3 linked regions of the Drosophila melanogaster genome follow. The protein of the gene in region 3 purifies or fractionates together with the protein of the main gene of each other region. This does not show direct contact. Each region holds a gene or a part of one and is shown on either strand. Other genes may lie near its edges.

Region 1 (4,337 bases), on a different chromosome or scaffold from region 3:
CGATGAAGAAGTGCAGCTAGTTCCAGAAGTAAAACAAGAAGACACGTCCCGTGTGTCCTCAGTCCACGGAAAAGATCACACTGAGCAGAAACCAGCGGAGAAGAGCGTTGAAAATAAGGAAAATTCGTTGCATTTCAATGATACCATGGAAGAAATGGAGTACATGATGCAAAAGGGTATGGAGTACATGGCAGGTGGGGCTCCTTCAGTCGCCGCAGTCAAGGCAGATTGCCCTGTGCTGCCCAAGACCAAACAAAGCACGTTCGTTGTTTCACCGAAGCCGGAACCAAAATCACCGGCTGTAGCCTTTTTGCAGCCATCAATTCCGCTGCGGTCATCTAATCAGCCACAAACAGTTGTAGGTTCATCTAGCACGGGTAGAAAGCCGCTCAATGTCGGCCTCACCATGGAGTGGACCAAAAAGAAATTTTTCAGTGCAGCCTCTGGTATTCCTCAGCGTCGCCAAAATCAGATAAAGCAGCCATACGCCAACATAGTCAGTCCCATACGCACCTACACCCAGAAGTCTGGTACTGCTCCGCTAATGAGTACATTCCGTCCAACGAGTTCTGATATGCTATCTACACTGGCCATCAGTGAGTTGGAGCAGGAGTCTCGCTTGTGTCATCCTAAAGCACTTTTCGCAACAAAGGACGAAACACCCAAGTCCAGTGAAGCGGAATCTTTAATTATCAATGGAATCGATTCAGCCGCTGATCTGCTTCCCAAAAAGGCTTACATATCTTCCGAAATCAAGCATGTAAGTTTAAATTTATATATAAGCCATGATGAGTGAACGTAAACTAATACCTTCCATTGAACAGGTGGTTGATGAACGAACTCCTTTGCCCATGCCGAAGGTACCTCAAATTCAAAAATACCTCAACTCCGCCGTGGAGCCTACTGTTATGCGCCACGATGGCAAAATGAAAATGCCCGGCGAGGCAGTCCGCAATCCGTCGTCTTCGCATATCCCACGACGCGCCAATCACAGCCTGGCTGATCTGTCGCTCGCCTCAGGCGACGTGTCCTTATACACAATAAGAGATGCCCAAAAGTTTTAAGGCCCATAAAAGTACTTCACGCTCCTTGACTAAATATTGCAACGATAATAAATGTATTGTGTAACTAGTGCTAGTAAATGCCTTCGTTTTCGTTTGATAGTATCAATGCTTGCATCATCACTTAACTCGCGCCTGCGGTCCCTTCCACGCTCGATTAACCTTGGACTCTGAGGTTCTGCCCAGTTCGGTGCAGATGTACCGCCCCACTTGGATCAGTTTGTCTAGGTTGACGCCAGTATCGAGGCCCATGCCGTGCAGTAAGTAGACCACATCCTCGGTGGCTGCGTTGCCTGACGCCCCCTTGGCGTAAGGACATCCGCCCAAGCCAGAAACGGAAGAGTCCACCACCCGAATGCCATAGTCCAGTGAGACCAGTATGTTGCTCAGAGCCTGACCATAAGTGTCGTGGCAGTGCACGGCCAGATCTTTAGCCGGGACGACCTTGGTCACCTCATCCAGCATTCGGCGCATTGTGCCTGGAGTGCCCACACCAATGGTGTCGCCCAATGAGATCTCATAGCAGCCCATTTGGTACAGGGCTTCCACCACTTTGACGACAGCACTCGGCGCAACAGCACCCTCGTACGGGCAGCCAACCACGGTGGAAACGTAGCCCCGGACGCGCACACCATGCTTTTGGGCTGCTTTCAGCACAGGTTTAAATCGTTCGATGGCCTCAGCTGCCGTGCAATTAACGTTCTTCAGCGAAAACGCATCAGATGCGGCTCCAAAGACTGCCACCTCCTCGGCTCCCGCCTCCAGAGCACTCTCGAATCCCTTCAGATTAGGCGTGAGGACTGGATAGCTTATACCAGTCACTTTGCGGATTCCTTTCAGCACTTCGGCATTGTCGCCCATCTGTGGCACCCATTTGGCGCTCACAAAGCTGGTGGCTTCTATGGTTCGCAGTCCTGTTTCGGACAATTGGTTGATCAGCTCGATCTTGGTGGCTGCCGGCAGGAGTTTGGGCTCGTTTTGAAGACCATCCCGCGGTCCAACCTCCACAATTCGCACCTGATTGGCCGCGCTTGTAACCGCCGTGCGCTGTTAGTTTTAAAATTATTAAAATATTGTCAAGTGCGTTCGATTTTCCGTGAAATTACCTTTGCTGTAAGTGCAAGGATAGAGCGAATTGGTGCACTTATCATTGCTAAATTTGTAAATAAACGTTACGTATTCCGCTTCTTCTTTTTTCGCTGATAACAGCTGATAATGATCCAAGATCGATATGTTGCTAAATTTCGATAACTGTTTTGCTTAATGAGCTGCCATCTCTAGCGCAGAGGCGTAAACACATTTTTTGTATACAAACGGGTATTTGGTGCTAATTCTTTGTAATGGAAATAGCAGAGATATCTGCAGAAGATGAGGATGTGTTTCACTTTGAGACCGAGCACCTGGCCCTGCGTGGCAACCAGTGCTATACCAATTTGCTGCGCACTTTGGCCGTGCTGCAGGCACAAAGGATTCGGGTGCATCAGCAGATTGAGGAATTGGAAGCCACACAAAATATCTACTTGGAGAATCCGCAACATATGCTGGACAAACTGCGAAACAACGAGCCTTTGATAGCGGATAATTACATCACCACGACCGTTCTACCGGACTTGCCAACTCTGTCGCCCAATGACGAGGAAGGGGGCACAAATGAGACACCGACCGATGCGTCTTCATGGACGCAAGAGGCGAACAAGAATCGGGACAGGAGCAATGGACGGTCGGAGAATTTCAATCGCTTGTGGACCAACGAAGAGCAGAGTCGCTTGGAGCAGCTGCTCATCCAGTATCCGCCAGAGGAAGTGGAAATGCGCAGATTCGGGAAGATAGCGAAGGCCTTGGGCAACAGAACGGCACAGCAAGTGTATAGTCGTGTCCAGAAGTATTTCCAAAAGCTGCACGATGCCGGAATGCCTGTGCCCGGTCGCATACCCAAGCATCGACGTCCTGGTTTGAGTAAGCCGAAGATCAAACTTCGCAAGTCAACCTTCTTCCCCGCTCATAATATATCGCTACAAATGCCAGAGGACGATTTCACATTTGACGACCTGCGAATCCCATCGCCTGCGAGCGATATGCTCCTTATGCCGGCATCCAAGATCGAACCAAAGATCGAATCCGAGTACATGGATGCCGATCTGAATGCGGAGTCAAAGCGAAAACAGGAACTATGCCTTAAGCTTCTATCAGCCATTCAGGACGAGAAACGGGAAATGGAGGACGGATATGAGCCAGACTTGCTGGCCGCCAAGTGTGCCGAGTGCGAAGAGGCATCTGTGACCAGGACCCAATGGCGTTGTAACAGTTGTTATTGTTACCTTAATCTGTGCGGAGATTGCCTGGCCAGTCAGCTAATCGAAGGGCGTTTCGAGCATTTAAGTCATGAAGTTGTAGTGGACCAAGAGTCATGACGCTCCTAGAGTCCCATTTACTTGAGTACTAAATTACTAGACTTGCCTGTAAAGCTACAAATTAAATATAAAGAGAATAATTTTAAAAAATTCTATTTTATTTATAAAAACTTAATATTAAATGGTATAAAAGAGAGGCCCTCTTAATTGCGCAATTGGGCAGATGATTTCGGCAGAGATTGAATACGCTGGCGACGCTTTGCTTCGAACTCCGTAGCCAGCTGCCATGTTTCTTTGTCCAACGTATCCTTCCCCCGGGCGATGCCCAGCAGCCGTGAGAGGACCAGCAATCCATGCAGATCATCGGCATTACTTTTGACATTAGCTTTACGCATGTCCACGAAATCCTGCTGGATCATTTCAGTGTGCTCCTCGCTCACGTTGAAGCCGCTAGTGCGCGCTGTGGTCAAGTACTTGCGAAACTGCTGCAGACGTGATGGCTGCAGATAGTGGTGGGCTGCCTTTAGAGATTCATCAACAAGTTCCACGGCCTTAGAATCGGCATTAATGGGCAGCACAAAATCGCTCTGAAAACATATCATTAATAGTTTCTATTGGATATAATGATTATTTATATAAACTTATATTCTTACCGGCAACATACTTCGCCCTTCACTGAGCACGAGAACTGGAATATTTGCTTGGTAGTCTATTTGGTAATACTGAAAGTCGCACTTCAGTTCCTGATTATTGATCAAGTGCGCTAAATGCTGAACGGCATGAACACCATTGGCCTCCAGCTTGCCCTGTTGCATGCACGTCTCGTCGAGCACCAAATGCGTATGGGGAGCCAACTGTAGTACGCCGGAAACCAGCTTGTTTGTCTCATAATCCTTCCTGCAAGTACTCATTAATAGGTATTCAA
Region 2 (6,678 bases), 5.5 Mb from region 3:
GTCCTGTCGCAACACTCCGAAATAGCACTCACCCGTTGCAAGCTGCGTCGCATCCCTCCTTGAACTCCTCATGCCGCAGCACCTGTTGCCGTGCGAACGAGCGGGATGGCGATAGAAGGGAGCAAAAACGATGAGAGAAAAATGAAATTTTAACACAGTCATTATATGACATTATCGGGCATCTGGGCTTTTTAATTAGCAGCCGCGCGTCGTTGACACGTTGTCCAGATAAAACTACAGCCAGACACAACAGCCTGCGATAAGGAAGTCTGCCGATTTCTGGCGATACGCCCGCCACACCCAGCTTACCGTCATTCCCAAGATTTGCCGAAAGAAGAAGGCGTTTTTCGCCCGATCTCCGATTTTGAACACATAGTGCAGGGCGCGTCCCGATATGGCCGACATCTTTGTGTTTATCAGCTGGCGTTTATTCAGCAAGTGCTTTCCGATCGAATTTCGGCCTTGTTTATGTACATTCCGTTTCAGTGTGGCCGTGCGCAGAACAGCAAATATTCCCAGCGACGGGAGCTTTTGGAAGTATCGATATTTTTTAGTTTAGACTAAATAATAATAAATTTAAATACACTGTAAGTTTTAAATTATAAAGTGCGCTTTTTGCTGATTGACATCTACGAGGAAAAAACTAATGACTATCGCACCTTCAAAAAACGAATATCGGAATTTACCTTTTGTGACACAAAATTTTACACTTGACAAATACACTTTAAAAAAAGAGTATATCCAAAATGTTGTCACAAAAGTCCTTCCATGAAAAGCAATTATCGTCAACAGTTTTATTAGGCACTTAAAATATGGAGTAAGCGAGCATATAAAACGTATAAAATACGAAGTAAGCGAACATATAAAACTATTTAATACATTGTAGTAGCAAGGATAAAATGTCGTGAAAGTAAGATATTTAAAAATTTTCGCTAATGCGTCCTAGCCACATTTGCATGATAGTTCATTGGATATACACTACGCGTCATCAGATTAGCGCCCCCTGCATGGCTCCGTTCATTTTTATTTTCTGGTTTTGCCATTGCACGAAAATTCATCAATGTTGTTGTTTTTTGTTCACTGACATTCCCTCTCTCCTTGAGGATAAAAAAAAGGTCCTAAGGTAAGGACAACAAAATTTGTTATGCTGTTGAATTGAAAAGTTTGCTTTAAGAGGAACCCTGTTATCCCTGCAGGAAATATACAATATCATAGCATTCTATTAATGCTCATAATCATAAAATTTCAGAAAACCCGCCAGATGTCGCAACCCTATAATAAACTTTATTCAAAAGAACGAAACTTATGGAAAAAAAAAATAATGGTGGCAATAACCTTGTCTTTACCGCGGCAGATCGCAGGTCCATACTTCGAATACCTCCCAATTCCCACGACTTCTCCGCCAAAATTCGAGAAAAAGTGTTGAAAACCAGATCAAATCTTTGATTCAAATGGTGATTAAGACAGCTAAACATAAAACACGAAAAACTGAAAATAAAACCACCTCTCAATAAGTTGCGAAAAAAAGCGGGTCTGAGTTTTGCTCGAGCTCATTTGACTTGGTCTAAGGAGTGGCGTCGTATTTTCGGACAAGAAGAAATTTAATCTGGAGAAACCAGACGGCTTTTTTCATTACTATTATGATTTGCGTACATTTTGGATCGCTGTCACAGTCGGGTTATAGGTAAATTGCAGTTTTAAACACCAAAAATGAACGCAAAAGATTATAATTCAAAACTGCATTTCCCTACTTTAGAAACGTTTTTGGAAATTTAGAATGACATTTTCAAATTGACAGTGTCTCAATCCACACTGCACGTTTGGCAAAAACATGGATTCCATACTACTACCACCATACTACTACTATATAATAGATAACGTGTGGGTATGGTTGGCTAGGAAGGTATACGAGGGTGGTAAACAATATGCCACTCAAAACGAATCGTTCACCGGAATAAAACTCGATTGGTCTGCGATTACTTTGGATTACCTACAAAAAAAATATATGATTCCCTTTCCAGACGAATGTGTGAAGTCCATAATTTCCTTTAAAAATATTCTAATTTAAATATTTAAGTGTTAATCATCCCAATTTCTTTCGAAATGAATCGAACCAACTTAAATTATCTTAGGGGGCGTTATCCTGATAACCCAATTTTAATTAACCCATTTATGGATTTTTTTTTTACTTAAATAAAAATCTATAAACAAGAAACTGCATCCTATATAAATTTTACATTTATAGAATTGTTCAACGTTTGAATGAAAAGCAATTTTCAAAACTCTAGCTTTAACAGTTTTCTAAATATCTCAAATCAAAGATTTTTGCTCAAGGGGCGCTAACCTGATGTATGTAACCGGACGTATATGGATAGGTTATAGTTGATCATAAGGCTTTCGAAGGGATAGGTTTGTAGTCATGGAAATGCCCTTCCAGTCGCGCCGAGTCTTGCGATTCTGCGTCCTGCTCTATTTTGTGCTGCCATTCCGGATCGAGTGCATCTTCCTGCTCTAGCTTGCACTGACTTGCCTCCAGCGGATCCGGTTCCGGATCGTAGGACTCTTGACCTTGTTGACACTCATTTGGCCGCTGGCTTGTCTGCATGGTCACCTCATTTCGGTGGCTTTCCCTGGAGAGATCTCTCTGCCGTAGCTTTTCCCCCTTGCGGAGCTGATCCTGTTGAGCTTCCCGAGCGCCCTGCTCCTGATCGCGGTCGTGCTCCTGCTCCTGCTCCTGACTCTCCCGACTGTGCTCCCTTCGTTTTCTGTGCGTCTTTCTCGCGCGGTGCCTTCGTAGGTGCAACTCAAGGGTTTGTCGCGAAACGCAAGGCTTCTGGCAGTGAATACAGGCAAAGGGCCATTCCTCGGCTGCCTCTCCCGAGCCCGTGGATTCCGTGTGCAGCCGCTCGTGCCGCACCTGCGAGGCATGCGTGCCAAACTTTTTCTCGCAATGACCGCACTGGAACCGCCGCTGACCCTCGTGGACCACCCGAACATGCCGGCTAATGGCGCTCTTGTGGCGAAAGAGCTGCGGACACTGCTCGCACTTGAAGCGCTCCCAGGTGGGATTGTGGGTGCGCAGGTGGGTCAGTAGCTCCGTTCGGGTCACCTTGGCCACTCCACAGTGCTCGCACACGTGCTCCTTGCGCTGGGCATGACGCTTTAAATGCTCGCCCAAGGCATTCTTTGTGCTGTACTGCCGGTTGCACAGCTCGCAGATTAGGTCGCGCAGCTCCTGCTGCAGTTGCTCCAGCTGTGGATGGGCGTTGCGCATGTGGGAGCGCAGCTGCTCATATCGAGTGAAGGACTTGTCGCAGCTGCGGCACAAGAAGGGTTTCGAGTAGCCCTGATGGACGCTGCGGATGTGGGCCTCCAAGTACGGTAGCTTGTACACCTGCTTGCCGCACTGATCGCAGGCCAAGCCAGCGCGTCGTTTACTACCAGTGCCTTGGCTAAGCTGTTGCTGGCTGTTCTCGTACTCATCTGGATACTCCTCATCCTCCCGGTCGTCAAGAATCTTCTTCTGATCCTCCTGCTTCTTCGACAGATCTACCTGCTGCCCATCCGCCTGCTTTTCATGCTCTTCCTCCAGTTCATGCTCATTTTCCTCATGGTTTTCCTTGAGTCCTTCGTCCGGCGGCTCCTCCTTCACCTAGGAAAGAACTAAGAAAGTATTAATCCAGGTTTAACAAGCCGAAAAGGACATATATATCCACCCTGTCGACCGCGATGTCCACTGGCTGCCATCCGATAAGCTTCTGGCTGGATTCCCTTGCCACTTGGCGCAGCTCGTCAAAGTAGACCACCGCGTTGTGGCACAGGTTGCAGATCTCAGTGGGAAATCCATGCGGCTGCTTCAATATGTCGATGTCCAGCAACTTTTGCAGAATCGCGATGAGTCGCGGATCGGGACAGTGGGTGTCGCGGTCGCGCAGATGACGCAGGCAAATCCTGCACAGGCGCGCGAGGTCCGTAAATGTGGTGAACATCGCCACGAATCGTGCGCGTTAAAGGCAACGTTCTACGTGGAAATCCAGTTCTTTTTTCCGCCTCTTAAATTTTCCTGCTGTGATGCACACGCACCGCCAGTGTTACCAGAGGGCGACACCTGTTGCGCTGCCGTTGATCGATCACTCTTATCGATATCGTTACCAATCCAGCTTATAGGCTTTAAAAAATTCTATAAGCTTGTATATCGAAAATATTAATACTACATTAATATTATTAGAAATCGCAATGCATTTTTAATCTTAGTCATAAATTAGGGTGGATATTAACATTTCCCAATGCGAAGAATGCATCTAGTAAGATGTTTCCGGTATTACAGTTTATTTCATCCTTTCAATATCTGGTCCCTCTCTATTTATAAATAAAACCCGCCTGAAAATTACACAATTTAAATGAACGGATCGAAAAGCAACTTTAGAGACCTTAAAACGGATTCTTAACGTGAATTAAACAACAAATCTAAAAATAATAATATAATAATATATATATATATATATATAATATATGAAAAACAAATAATTGTTTTCCAAATATGACCAAGTATTACGGCTGACAGTAATGCAATAATTTGTTACGAACTGCTTATCCTTCGTTATTGCAGTGCCTCTAGCTCAGGCTTACCACACAGCTCGCAATAGAAATATCGATAACTATCGACGTCTCACCACTCTGCACACCTAAGATCTCAAATAATCAAAGGAACAAAAAAAGGTAATCAAAAGCATTAATTGCAAATGAACATACATGCGCACCCACCCAACCTAGGATGCCCTGAGGATTTTACAGTCATCACCCAATATAAATAAATATAAATATAAATATACCAAAAATTACAAACAGTTGTCATCCTGAATTGCCCATTTTGGTCGTTAACCGCGGTTCATGTGGAAAATATCCTAGTCAGAGGCAAACGAGTAAGAATTTCAAAACAATATAAAAATATATATGATATTAATTTATTGGAATTGTAATTTATTCAAATAAAATTAAAAGTGTGGAAGCGGAGACAATTCAGGTCTTATTCGTAGAGTGAAAGAATTAAATTTAATTGTAAGTTGCAAAGCGAATGCTTAGCAAACCCTTGACTGAAATTTACTTCTTTATGTGTTAAGCTAAAGAGGGCTCCTCTTATGTATTTCTATGAATTGAGTGGATCGTGCATGGATGCTGGGATAAGCCAAGGATTTGAGCTTCGTAAGCGGTTTTGACCCTTTGGTGGGAGTCGTGAATGCGGCTGCGGATGTTTATGTCTGGTGGATTGGGTGCCCTCTTGAGTGGATCGCGCATGGGTACTGATCAGCCGAGAACTTCAGCTGCGTTAGCGGTTTTGACCCTTTGGTGGGAATAGCGAATTCGGCAGCGGATGTTAATGTTTACATTAGGGCAGGCTGGATTTTTTATTGTCACCAGAATTGGGGTTCTTATGGGATACTTGAATTTATGACTTATATCCTAAGGCATTCTATGATTTGGTTTATGCAAAGACACTAGAATAACAAGATGCGTAACGCCATACGATTTTTTGGCACACGATTTTTTGGCCGTGGCTCTAGAGGTGGCTCCAGGCTCTCTCGAATTTTTGTTAGAGAGCGAGAGAGCGGAGAGCGCTACAGCGAATAGCAGACAACTGTATGTGTGCACACGTATGTTCATGCATTGTAAATTTGACAAAATATGCCCTTCACCTCAGAAGTTCTTAGACTTTAAATCTATATTATTTTTGATCAATTGGCACCATGCGAAAAAATCTTGTTTTGCATTGCAAATCCTGATCGTCCTCGCGAAGCAATGCTTCACGGCCATACCGCGGGGGGTCCTGGATTTGCCCTCCTTACTTTTACATTGTTAATCTGTTAATCTTAATCTTAAATGTTCAATAGACGAATTAAAAAAAAAAAAACCTAATCCTGTGTAATCAGAGCACTGGGGACGCGCGCGAGTAGCCGGGCGAATCGAGTTAACGCTCCTGGAAAACCCGAAAATTTTCCGTGTCGCGGCAGCTAAATAGAGACAGGAGTGACTGTCTCTAACACACAGTAATAGTGTAAAAATCACGGAGCAGACCAATAGCCAACCCCTCCGCTTATGAGTCCCCCGTCGGAACTTCACCCTTCACACCCAACCCTTAAGTCCATGACGCTGCGCTTGCTCTCTTGACCAGCCGGGCAGCAGCATAATAAAAACCCATTTTGCGTCTGAGCCAAGGTGGCCGGCGGAATGGTTTGTGTCTGAGCCTCATCGGCCAGCACCGTAACCATCACCTGGCGAATGGTATAGGGCCGCACACCTTGCAGTCCAAGGTTCTAAGGACCCCACCCTATAAGCCAAACGATGGCACCCCCAAGGGGCCATTATAAGTGACCTCCCCCCCAAACAGAGCCCAACCAGCAAGGCCCCCTTTTCTAGAAATCGAGGAGATGGGAGATATATTATACAACGGGGTGAGGAGCATTAATCTGGCAATGAAGAACACATTTGCCAGATTGAAGGATCTCCAACTAAAGCTGCGCGTGAGGCTGCCGGAGGAGGAGAATTCGCATGCCAAATGCACCGCAAGAACTGATGCTAGCCAACAGACCATCCCTAATGGCCTCTTTAGCTATGAAGAACCGAGTAAGGGCAAAGACGGTGTCAAACCAAAGATCGCACGGTGATGTCCAACGCCCTGCA
Region 3 (4,433 bases):
ACATTAAACAACTTGAGGACTTTGATTCTTTAGAAGAAATGATAAGGTAATAAATGCTTATTATTTCACTACCTTATGCTGTTATATTACTTTAAACAAATTGAGGACTTTGATTCTTTAGAAGAAATTATACGATTGTAAATGTTTATTATTTTATGCTATTATATTACATTAAACAACTTGAGGACTTTGATTCTTTAGAAGAAATGATAAGGTAATAAATGCTTATTATTTCACTACCTTATGCTGTTATATTACTTTAAACAAATTGAGGACTTTGAAGACATGTTTAAATAAAAATTGGTATACGTGAACTGCGAATAGCGAAATGCAAGAGCCACACGCATGTATCCGAAACTAAAGTCAGCATTTCGCAAAACAAATCAACTTTATTTGAAGGCTACCATTGAAAAATCTAGACTTCTTTACTCTTCAGCTTATTTTCAAGCACGTACTTAAGTTTAACTTTCAGCAACCGCACCAAACCAAGAAACAATAAAAAACGAAATTGTTTCTAAGCAAACTGTGTAAACAAAAGCACGGAGAGATGCTGTTTAGAGCGAATAAATGCCACGAGATCGAATTTTTGGCCATCCAGAACAACTGTGCAAACCAGGCACAGTGAACAACCAGTAAGAGAGACGTTTGAATTTTATCTAGTTTATTACAGTAATCGGTTTAGTCAAGTTAGTTAGGAAACACGCGAATGTGGCGTGCTTTTTTTGTGACCAGCCAGGTAGGGGTATAATTGTTCTAGGATGGTTCGTTCACGGCAGCCAGTGGACACTGTGCCGACGCGTACCGAACGTGGCCACGTTCTTGAACCGGTTTTGGCGGATCGCTCCGGCGGGGTCAACGTTTCGCCCTTTGGCGGACAACACCGGGACATTAACATAATTCATATTGATATAGTTGGTGTACAAAAAATTTCTAAATATATATATATAAATGTATCAAAATTTAGACGGTATGGGGATGCCGAGGGCGAGGAATTTGGGATCGGTTTTACAACACGCACACAACAGACTTTTAGATGGAACAATGAAACTTGAACATCGCAGAGCAGCGGCTAATCCTCAAAGGTGATGCGGCCGGGTCCGTGGTTCTTCATGTATCGCCTGTACGCCTTGTATCGTGGATTCTCCGCCAGCTTCTTTTTCATCTCCTCTTCCTGTTCTGCCTTCCAGGCGACGAAGTTCTCGCGCTTCCACAGCTTCAGATGCAGGTACTCCTCGATCAGCTTGTCCTCCTGCGCCTCGAACTGATGCTGGCCCATGCCCAGGTGCCGGCGGATGAGGTAGAGCTTCTGCTCGCGGCCATACGGCTGCTTCATTACCGTGTAGCGCCAGAACCACTGAGCGTGCCACACGATGAACGAGAGTATCGTGTAGGGGCAGATGATCAGCTGCACCCACAGCACATCCCAGAGTGTCGGCTTCGCATAGCCGCCCTTAACGTCCATCTTCTCCTCGATCACCCGCCGGATGATCCGTTCCAGCTCATCGCGCTGATCGTTCTTGGACATACGATTCTTGCCCTTCTTCTGGATCTTTTCCTGGATCTCGTCGCGAGCTATTTCCAGGGCCTGGTTCCTATACTTGGGCACCGTGGCAAAGTACTTGATGGCAGAATCGTAGCGCTGCCAGCCGGAATAGTACTGGATGACGGACACAATGGTTAGGACGACCACGATAACCACGCGCACATCCACCTTGGGCGCCACGCGTCGCCGGTAGTAGCGATAGTAATGCGCATAGTATGCATCCGGGTTGTCCAGCATGTAATCGTAGTCCGTGCGCGACTCCTCATCGCGCAGGATCTCGTAGGCGGTGGCCACCAGCTTAAACTGCGTCTCCGCCGCCGCCTTGGCCTCGGCACCCCGATGCAGATCTGGATGATAGCGCCTCGCCAGCTGGCGGTATGCTTTGCCGATCTCCGACTTGGACGACTCTCTGGTGACGCCCAGCACGTCGTAACAGTTTTCCTTGCCACAGTACAGGCCCTCTAGCAGGCCCAGGGCCATCGTGGGCAGCAGGGCCAAGAGCACCAACCGTAGTCCGTGCGTCCGCATCTTGGATAGCGCTTTCACCCTGGGGACACGTGTAGCTGCAGCTGGGGCGCACAGCTGGCACTCGTTGGCTGGGATCGGATCGGAGCGGATTGGTTGTGACTTGGATTGGTCCGCAGCAACTGGTGGCAGTGGCGGTCGCGCTGGCGCTGCTCGTCCGTCTGCTCGGCGTTTGGCACACTGAAAAGTTGGCCGCCGCTCGTTATCCAGGTTGACATTGGCCGATAACACCGATAACCGCGATAGCTCGCGGGTGGATAAGACCGTATGTTGGGGATATGGTCACTCTAAGTTAACTCATTTTACATTTTATTTTAGAGTCGCTAATTTGACGCACATTTATTTTACTTAAATTTCAGGCATAAAATCCATGCTTATACACCACGATTATTAACAGTTCGCCAAATACCGATTACACCCTCGTTAGGCTGCCTATCGAACTTATCGGTCCTAGCTGAACCTAGCTAAGCGTCAGTCTTGAACATTTGGATCCAAATATTCTGGATTTGCAATTTGCAAAGCGTCTGCATAGAATCTGGGCTTTAAAATGGACTTCAATTACCATGTGGATTCGGCACTTACCACTTTATTGGAAAACCAAAAGTTCTTCAAAGAAATGGCAGAAGGTAAGCCATGCGACACACTGAGACATCTTTAAAACCTACCCACAGTCGTGTCCGATTTCAGTGATGGCAGGGAGATCCAGAAGTTGTTGGACCAGAACGTGGATCTCGCCGAGAATCTCATCCGAATGAAGAGCAAGCACCAATTGCTCAGCAAGGCTATGAAGCATGCCAAAAACTCTAGCAACACCATCGAGAAGTTCGAGGAAGTCTGGAAGGAGCGCTCCGAAGCGGTGGAGCAGAAGCGCATCGATGTCAAGAACTCAGCCGAGTTCAAAAACTTCATGAAAGCGGCAGCTCCCCAGGCGGGTGCGGAAACAAATGGTCAAGCGAATAGCGCCGCCCATGACGAGGACCTTATCATGGAAGCCACCGGCGGCGAGGTCTTCTCGCTCTACGATCCCTGGTCCAAAGCCTTGATAAAGAACCCCGTGCGCAACAAAAAGTGCGGCCACATCTACGACCGCGACTCGGTGATGCTGATCATCACGGACAACATTGGTATTCGATGCCCAGTGCTCGGCTGTCCCAACAGGTCCTACATCCATCCAGCGCACCTGGTCAAGGACTCCAACCTACAGCAGAAGTTGCAAGAGCGCATGTCTGACGCGATCGAGAAAGAAACTTCCTCGGAGGAGGACGATGAACAGGCAGATCATTAATTATGCGCAACTTCCTTCTTGTCGACTAATAACGCAGCGTAAGATATCACGTTCTTGTAAGACAACCATTTGATGAAAATTTAAGGTACAACGAATAAACATGTTTTAAAAATAGTCCCGAAAAAATTTAGAGAAAATATATTAGAAGTGCAGTATGCACGTATGTATATAGTTTGCGATTTATTTAGAAAATTGGTACAAATGTAGAAACAAATGAATATATAGCACGATTGCCATCGAAATCATCGCCGAAACATTCTAGCGAGTCTTTGCCGCAGACGATCCACATCAGACTCATATGGCACCAATGGCACCTTGTCATTATCCGGATCGCTACTATCTTCAGAGGAGATCCAGACTGATTTACCATTGCTAAGCTTCGGCTCTGAATCCCCGCAAGCCATGGGGTCCTTCAGCATGGCTGCTTCCTCATTGTTTTTGGTTTTTTGCCGGAAAAAGCTTCCGGCATGGGTGCCTTGGTCAATGGGCCAGCTGTTGGCGACTTGCGCTGGAAATCTCTACAAATAACGAAGAATCTATCGGGAGCGGTGAACGGAATAATGAAATCGGTGAGCTCTATGAAGAATCGTAGGACTTCATTGTTTCGTTTAGAAAACCTATCAACTTGTATGCGTAAAGCATTTTCTTGAAATGGTCATCTTAAAAATGCTGTGCTTTGCAAATAGTTAAGTATTATCCGCTCGGATATGTGAATCAACTGAGGTCCTCACGCCAAATTATAAATGTGACTTGTAGACTGCAAAGTCATCGCCTTCTTTTTTGAGTTCTTGACACAAGCAAAAAGGGTTGCCATGGCGTTGTCATGCCCTTGGAGATAAAACCTCTAGACTCAAATATTCTTATTATGTTCCGCTGACATAATAAGTATTAGTGTTTTTATTTCATAATAAATTATGCAATTTACAGCATCGGAAATTGGTAGCTTCAGTATAATATTATCAAATATATTCAGTTTTATACCCGTTACTCGTGAAAGGGTATAGTAGATTTGTTAAAAAGTATGTAACTGGCAGAAGAAAGCGTTTCCGACCATATAAAGTATATATATTCTTGATCAGG

The links. The genes of interacting proteins can lie anywhere in the genome.
Region 1: the proteins of cerv (region 3) and Atac1 purify together in Drosophila melanogaster (affinity purification with mass spectrometry, with the first as the bait; one large-scale study listed by BioGRID). This does not show direct contact.
Region 2: the proteins of cerv (region 3) and CG1529 purify together in Drosophila melanogaster (affinity purification with mass spectrometry, with the first as the bait; one large-scale study listed by BioGRID). This does not show direct contact.

The regions. Positions count from the first base shown.
Region 1 is NT_033779.5:6,958,318-6,962,654, reverse strand, and holds Atac1 (Ada2a-containing complex component 1), read left to right. Parts: upstream 1-2,326; 5' UTR 2,327-2,401; coding exon 2,402-3,472; 3' UTR 3,473-3,556; downstream 3,557-4,337. Other genes in the region: sip2 (septin interacting protein 2), read left to right, coding at 1-760, 825-1,064; Hmgcl (3-Hydroxymethyl-3-methylglutaryl-CoA lyase), read right to left, coding at 1,182-2,108, 2,168-2,212; CG3430 (uncharacterized protein), read right to left, coding at 3,616-3,999, 4,066-4,309.
Region 2 is NC_004354.4:21,027,871-21,034,548, forward strand, and holds CG1529 (uncharacterized protein), read right to left. Parts: upstream 4,081-6,678; 5' UTR 3,990-4,080; coding exon 3,717-3,989; intron 3,664-3,716; exon of another isoform or gene 3,653-3,663; coding exon 2,387-3,652; 3' UTR 782-2,386; downstream 1-781. Other genes in the region: CG1532 (uncharacterized protein), read right to left, coding at 33-82, 310-405.
Region 3 is NC_004354.4:15,576,072-15,580,504, reverse strand, and holds cerv (cervantes), read left to right. Parts: upstream 1-2,333; 5' UTR 2,334-2,615; coding exon 2,616-2,694; intron 2,695-2,739; coding exon 2,740-3,353; 3' UTR 3,354-3,519; downstream 3,520-4,433. Other genes in the region: CG7872 (uncharacterized protein), read right to left, coding at 1,070-2,071.